Linked DNA regions of Sus scrofa. The protein of the gene in region 1 binds, or shares a complex with, the protein of each later gene. Links are inferred from orthologs where the notes say so. Each region holds a gene or a part of one and is shown on either strand. Other genes may lie near its edges.

Evidence for each region.
Region 2: VPS39 (region 1) and VPS41 share a complex: the UniProt entries of both Homo sapiens proteins name them as parts of the homotypic fusion and vacuole protein sorting (HOPS) complex. The link is inferred for Sus scrofa from reciprocal best matches to the Homo sapiens genes VPS39 and VPS41.

What each region holds. Positions count from the first base shown.
Region 1 is NC_010443.5:129,164,540-129,168,357, reverse strand, and holds part of VPS39 (vam6/Vps39-like protein), read right to left. Parts: intron 3,626-3,818; coding exon 3,527-3,625; intron 3,067-3,526; coding exon 2,974-3,066; intron 725-2,973; coding exon 541-724; intron 1-540. UniProt on the Homo sapiens protein: Regulator of TGF-beta/activin signaling, inhibiting SMAD3- and activating SMAD2-dependent transcription.
Region 2 is NC_010460.4:55,292,213-55,296,456, forward strand, and holds the start of VPS41 (vacuolar protein sorting-associated protein 41 homolog), read left to right. Parts: upstream 1-1,442; 5' UTR 1,443-4,140; intron 4,141-4,244. UniProt on the Homo sapiens protein: Plays a role in vesicle-mediated protein trafficking to lysosomal compartments including the endocytic membrane transport and autophagic pathways. Acts as a component of the HOPS endosomal tethering complex.

The DNA.
Region 1 (3,818 bases):
AGAAAAGGAACTGAGAGGTAAAAATAGCATTAGACATTCACTTCCTGAGATGTACAATTCTATTACATGATTTCTCCTCTAGGGCAAAACCCAACTTCCTACAAAAACCAGAATATCCTTTTTTTTTGTTTGTGTGTTTTAGGGCCACATCTGTGGTATACAGAAGTTCCCAGGCTAGGGGTCGAATTGGAGCTGCAGCTGCCAGCCTACACTACAGCCACAGCAATGCCAGATCTGAGCTGAATCTGCAACCTATGCCGCAGCTTGCAGCAATGTTGCATCCTTCACCCATTGAGCACGGCTAGGGATCAAACCCACACCCTCATGGATACCAGTCAGGTTCTTAACCTACTGGGCCACAATGGGAACTCCAGGATATCCCATTTTTAATTATTCTAAAATATTTTTCTACTTACAAGAGGAACTGAGAGTGAATGACAGTGGAAACCACAGTCAGCTAAAGCTACCAATGGGGTTCCAATCTGAGGGTGGCACACAGCCCAAGCCCAAGGTGGGAAAGAGCAGTTATGGTGGTCTCACCCATGGCCACTGGAATGTCCGTCCAGTTGAGGGCACACTTCTGCGTGCAAATCCCCTCCTCATTGAGCACCACGGTGAGATCATCTTGACCTACGGCCACCTTTCCATCTGCCAGAGGTGCAACTAAGGGCTCCAGCTGTTTTCCTGTTGGGAAGAGCTCTTTGATGGACCCCTTTCCATCCACCTAAAGGGAGACACAGAGTGAGTCACCCAGCCTTCTCCAGCCAGAGGCATGAACACGATGGCATGGAAAAATCAAGTTAAAACTCCAAACCTACAGAAGCCAATAATATTCGTCATTTGGCATAAAGAAATATTACAGAGTTTGTTATGACAAATTTTGTCACCACAAGATATGCTTTTCTCTAACACAGAGAAAAGCATCTAGGCTGGCAACTAACAATGTCAAGTACTGGCGAGGATACAGAGCAAGTGGAATTCTCATGTGCTGCCGGTGAGGATGCAAAATGGTACAGCCACTCTGTTTTTTGGCATCTCATAAAGTTAAATACACACTTACCATGGAACCCAACAATCCCATTCCTACGCATTTGCTCAAGAAAAACAAAAACCTGCGTTTACACAAAAATCTGGGGGCAAATGTTTATAGCAGCTTTGTTTATAATGGCTAAAAATTGTAACCAACTTTGTCCTTCAACTGATGAATGGATAAACTATATGTAGTACATCCATACCATGGAATCCTATTCAGCCACAAAAAGGAATATACTGACACACACAACACAGATGGATGTCAAATGCATCATGCTAAGTGAATGAAGCCAGGCTTAACAGGCTACACGTTGTATGATTCCATTTATATGACATTGTGGAAAAAGCAAAACTGTAGCAGACAAAGGACAGATCTGTGGTTACTAGAGGCTGGGGTGCGAAAGGAGGGCTGGCTTCAAAGAGGCAGCATGAGGGAATTTTGGGGGGTGAGAGAACTGTTCTGAATCTTGATTGTGGTGGTGGTTATGAAACTCTAGACATCTGTGAAAACTCAGAACCGTAGATCCAAACGAATAAATTTTACTCTATGTAAATAAATGAGTATGTTTTGAATAACCTGGTCCTGAAGCAAGCTTTCCCGCCCTCAAAACACTGCACCCTCAAGAAGGTGATGGCCATATCTAAGGCAGAGAAATGAGAGCCTCCTCCAAATTGTGGCTCCGCCTCCTACCCCTCGCAGGCTTCTCTCAGGCACCTGTCTACCTAGTTGCTATGCAGTCAGTGGCACAGCAGTACTCACCTACAGGCCTGAGGTGCTGATGCTGATAAAACTGTGCTATTCCAAAAATAAAAATATGGAACCAAGATATTCACTGGATAAACAATGAAGAGCTAACACAGCACGGGGTAGGGAAGTGGGAGGTGGGGAGAGAGCTTCGAGGATTGCCAAGTCTGTTTTATGAGAGGGGTATGAAGCTGAGGAATTTATACTGTCCTATAAAATGAATGGTGCAGTAACCTTTTCTACATTTAGTATGCATATTAGAGGGTAAAACTACCAATGTCATGGATATTTACCATATAGGTTAAGAGAAAAAGCAGGGTATAAAACAATGTGTATAACACGATATTTTGGTAAACAGACACAGAAGCCCATTACCAAAAGGTTAACTGTGATTATTTCTGAGTGGGAGAATTATGGATAACTTGCCTGTCTTACTTTCCTTATCTACATTTTGTAATTTTCTACAATAAACACATGGCTTTTGAAATTTTTTAAAAAACTGAAAATAACTTTTACAACAAATATATTAAAAGATCTTGGGGGAGTTCACATCATGGTGCAGCAGAATCGAATTGGACTATGACCCAGGAGGTTGCGGGTTCAATCCCTGGCCTCACTCAGTGGGTTAAGGATCTGGTGTTGCCGTGAGCTGTGGTGTGGCTCAGATCTGGCGCTGCTGTGGCTGTGGTATAGGCCGGCAGATGTAGCTCTGATTGGACCCTTAGCCTGGGAACCTCCATATGCCAAGGGTGCAGCCCTAAAAAGCAAAAAATTGGGGGGGGGGCAGGAAACTCAAGACTTAAAAATACTTAAGTTAATACTACAGTTAGTATATAATTCCTGAGCTTTCAAGCCTCAAGACAGCAGTCCATCAGAATGCTATTAAACAGAGGCAAGCAGCCCTAATTATCTAGTCCAATAACTAGACACAGGACATGGATAATTCATTATATAAAGATCTGAGAGTTGATTCTGTCTGGCTTAAGTTACACCGACATCTTATTTGTGGAAGACGCTCAAAGCATGAAAAATACCCAAGCATACAAACACAAACCCTATTATGCCAAAGACTCTACTTAAGGCAGTCTCTTGACCTATAGTTCAGAAGCACATAAATTTACCTTCTCCCCCAGGTAAATTTATAATCACCTTCCCCAAGGCAAGCTGATGATATTTGCAAAACAGTTGAATTTTACCCTTATTAAGTAGTAGTCTCTCTTGAAGCCCACACAGATAGAATTTTCACACCAGGCCATGGACTTGGGTACATCTGGTACGCTAAAGTCCCCCTGAAGAAAGAGAGCAAGAGTTCAACTGGAAAGATGTTAAAAGAAAAAAAAAAAATGACCTTCTTGTTCTTTCACCTCCATTCTGCAAAATCACCCGCACCCTCATCTGAATACAATTTTATTAGCACAAGGCCAGGAAACCATCCATAATAAAAATATATGTCACCCATGAACTGGACAAGGCATATTTGGAAGAGGAGAAAACCCACTTTGAAAGAAATTAATCTGTACAGTTGTAGAATGATGTTACTCTAGCTTCTGAAGGCCAGGAGACGTAAATGTAGACAAGTGGGCACAAGTAACACCCAGGTACTCATACTAGCAGGGCATTCTTCTAGGGAGAACTCCAAGATGGAGCTCCTGAGCTTCATGAGAACTGAACAGTAAGTCTTTCAAGCTGTGGGTCAGTTTAGCAGCAGCTCCCATCCAACCCATGGACCAGATAACAGTGGACTTTTACCTGCAATTCATGAAATTCCCTGTCTTTCCAGAAATAGAGCTGCAGCTTCTTTTTCACGGCCACACACATCCGCAACACCTCGTCACCAGTCTCTGTGTGCTGGGAAGAGACACCCAGAGCGAATGAGGATGCGCTCATGATGACTCCGTAACTGAGTGACAACTGAATTAGAGGTTTTCTACCCTGAAATGGCTACTAATCCAAACATCCTATCATACAAGGTCACACTGCCAGACAAGTTGAGCCAAAGTACACTGGCCCCAGAAAATCTCATGGATGTTCACCATTTAGA
Region 2 (4,244 bases), on another chromosome or scaffold:
GTGGTCTGCTCTGATAATCTTCGTCTTTTAATGGGTGCATTTAAGCCACTGACATTCAGAGCGATTACTGATACAGTTAGATTCGTATTTACCGTATTCATCACACTTTCTATTTGTTGTCCTTGTCTTTTTTAAAAAAAAAAAAAAAAAAAAAACAGTATTTGACTTCCAGTTCTTTCTGCTTGTTACGGTTTACATTGAGCATTTTATATAATTCCATTTTCTCTTCCTTCGTAGCATATCAGCTATAGTTTTTTTTTCTTTTTAGGGCTGCACCTGCGGCATATGGAAGTTCCCAGGCTAGGCGTTGAATCAAAGCTGTAGCAGCCAGCTTAAACCACAGCAACAGCGACACCAGATCCGAGCCACATCTTCGACCTACACCACAGCTCACGGCAACGCCAGATCCTTAACACACTGAGCAAGGCCAGGGATCGAACCCACATCCTCATGGATCCTCGTCGAGTTCGTTAACTGCTGAGTCACGAAGGGAACCCCCTCAGCTATATTTCTTTTAAAAAAAATTTTTTAGAGGTTGCCCTCGAGTTTGCAATATCCATTTACAACTAATCCAAGTTCACTTTCAGATAACACTGTACCACTTTACAGATCGTATGAGCATCTGACGATGACCAAATGATCCTAATTTTTTCTTCTCATCCTTTGAGTCTTTGCTGTCATTCGTTTTACTTATATAAAAGCATATACATAAGCATATGTACATATACACAAATGTATACATAAGTATCCATTGTAGTTGAAAACATTATTATCATCAAACAAACTTGTAACTACAGATCAGGTAATAGTAAGAAAATTAAAGGTTTTGTTTTACCATCACGTATTCCTTCTTTGACGCTCTTCCTTTCTTCCTGTAGATCTGAGTTTCTGACTTTTAAAAATGTCTTTTAACATTTCTTGCAAGGCAGGCCGACTCGCAACAAAGTCTTTCAGTTCTCGTTTGCTGAGAGTCTGTTCCTCCTTCACTGTCCGAGGATCATTTCACGAGACCACAGAATTCGAAGCCGAGGTTTTGTTTGTTTGTTTCTTTTTCAATGTTCTCACTATATCACTCCATTTTCTTCTTGCTTGCATGGTTTCTGAGGAGAAGTTAGACGTAATTCTTATTTTTATTCCTCTATAGGTGAGGCATTTTGTGTTTTTTTTATTTTCCCTCTGCCTTCTTTCAGGAGTTTTTCCTTATCTTTGGTCTTCTGTAATTTGAAAATGATATGCCTAGTCGTAGTGGGTTTTTTTTTTTTTTTTTTCCCACATTTACCCTGTTTGACGTGCTCTGAGCCTGTTGGATCTGTGATTTGGTGTCTCACATTAATTTGAGGAAATTCTCAGACATTGTTTCAAATATTTCTTCTGTTGCTTTCTTTTGCTGTTGTTTTGTTTTGTTTTTTAGGGCCGCACCCACAGCATATGGAGGTTCCCAGGCTAGGGGTCTAATGGGAGCTGTAGCCACCGGCCTACACCACAGCCTACACCAGGCCCACAGCAATGCTAGATCTGAGCTGTGTCTGTGACCTAGACCACCCCTCATGGCAACGCTGGATCCTTAACCCACTGAGCGAGGCCAGGGATCAAACCCTCAACCTCGTGGCTCCTAGAAGGATGCGTTTCCGCTGTGCCACGACGGGAACTCCTCTTCTGTTGCCTTCTTTTCCTTCTGGTATTCCCCCATCACGCCTGTTTCTCCTTTGGTAGGTGTCCCACAGTCCTTGGATATTCTGTCCTCTTTTGGTTTTCCTGTCTTGTTCTCTTTGCTTTTTGATTTTCGAGGATTCTTTTGGTATATCTTTTGGTTCAGAGATACTTTCCTCAGCGATGTCTAGCTTATTTATAAGCCCATCCAAGGCATTTCTCCATTTTCATTACACTGTTTTTATTGCTAGCATTTACTCTGGTTCTTTCCTGGGATTTACAGCTCGCTACGGATGCTGCCCATCTGCTCTTGTGCACTGTCTACTTCGTCCTTCAGCGTATTGATTGAATATGATGAGCGTTTTAATCATAGTTGTTTTAAATTCCCAGTCTGATCATTCCTGCGTCTCTGCCCTGTCTGGGTCTGGTGCTTGCTCTGTCTCTCCAAGTTGTGCTTTTGCCTTTTAGTGTGCCTTGTACTTCTTTCTTAATAGCTGGCCATGATATTCTAGGTAAAAAGAAGTGCCACAATAAAGCCTTTAGTAATGCGGTGTAAGGCGTGGAGGGAGGAAAAGTGCCCCTGTAATTAGGTCTCAGGCTTTGAGGGAGCCTGTGCCTCTGGACTCTAAACTCCACAAGTGCTTCTCTGTTTTTTTCCTTCCTCCTTAGGTGGGACAGGATGGCTAGAGTGGGGCTGGAATTAGGTATTTCCCTTCTCCCAGGGGAGTGAGGCTCTGGTTAACTACTTTACCTGAGAGCTGGCCTTGTTAAGAACAAAGCTGACTTCACGATGGTTTCTTTTTGCCTCCTTTCCCTGGGAACATGATGGGACTTTCCCCCAGTATCTACCCTGGGAAGCTGATTGAGCTCCTGGTGGCGAATCTCACAGTATTGCTGGGGGGACACACACTGGGGCCCCTAGAGTTTCTAACCGTCAGGCTTGTCCACGGTGAGCCTCCAGCACTGTGTCACATTCAGTTCAGATGTTCCTACCCTGGCATTCGTTTCCACTGTGGCTTCTCCGTGTGAGTCCCTGCTCTGGGATGCCCTGACTCTCCCTGTCGCCCTGTGGGTCTCTCTGATCTAGAGGACAGGGCTTTGCCCTGTGCCCTCCCCTCACACAGATCCTAGAATTATTCATCTTTTCCCTCGTGTTCAGCATTTGACTTGTTGTTAGGGTGGAGTGGGGACCTCCACCTTCCTTGTTTGAAGAAATGGAAGTCGGAAGTCCCCAGAAAATAACATTTTTTAAGGCTACTTTCCTTTTATCTGTACAAGCCCTCTGATGATCCCTGCATAAAGTTTCCTTTAAGGGGCACGAATCCCCAGTTCTTTGTTTTCTTTTTATGTAAACAAATAAGGCTGAAGAATGGTCACCAGGAACTAACACAACATTGTGAGTCAATTATACTTCAATTAAAAAAGTAAAATTAAAAAATAGATACATTTTCTTAAAAAGCACCACCTGATGCAGTACTTCCTCCGTGAAGTCTTCCGAACCTTCCAACCAACGCCCATCACGCCCATCTGGAGGCCTCCTGCGGCCTCTGACTTGACCAAACACCACCCTCGTCATGCCATTCCACTGCTCTGCTTAAATCCTCAGTGTCTCCTCGCTTTCTCATAGATGGGATGGTGGCAGGACACCAAGAAAGTCTATTTCTTGGGAAAACATAATGAAATGGAGATACATTCAATGAATTCATTCCCTAATTAATTGATTTAGTCATCAAATAATTATAAAGGTCCAATTATATGCCAGCACTGCTGTAGGTGCTGGGCACATGTTTATTTAAAAATAAGTGGCTATCTTACTATTTTAAATATATTTTTTGGTTTTAGTGCTTGTTTGTAGCTAAGCAATAGCAAAGTCAAAGACTCCAAGAAAACATGTAAGAGAAAAATTTTAAATGTTATATGTTCTCGATTAATTAATTTTCCCGTCTGAATTGGGAAAATGCTGTGAATGTTTCATTTTAGTGATAAATCCTTTTATCCAAATTAAGGCACCCTTGTTTCGCAGAACCTAGCTGAGAACCACCACACTGAGTCTAAATTACATCCTCTTCGGTGTTCCTTCAAATTTGCATATTCGCAAAGATTATATTTTAGTTTGCATTTTGCCTTTATTGCGTAGTCCCCTTGTACTTCAAAGACCATTCACCTCTAGCACCAGACTTCTCTGAGCTTCAAAACCAAATAACCAACTGTCTTTTGGACATTAGTTTTCAAGTCAATAAAAAAAAAGATCAATTTCCCAGCAGAAAGAAGAGCAAGAGTAGAAAAATGCAGAAAACAACTGAAAATCACGAGCAAATACATGAAAAACATAGACTGTTCAGAAATCAAACAAATACAAGTTGAAACAACAAGTAAAGGACTACGTCTCGGATGGCAGAAAAGGAACCAGTGTTTTGGACTCCCGGCAAACATGCATTCTGTATCAAGTCCAGAGGACATAGATGGAAGATATACTCCTTTTTTGATGAGGTATTTTATTTATTTATTTATTTATTTATTTTTGGTCTTTTGTCTTTTGTTGTTGTTGTTGCTATTTCTTGGGCCGCTCCCGCGGCATATGGAGGTTCCCAGGC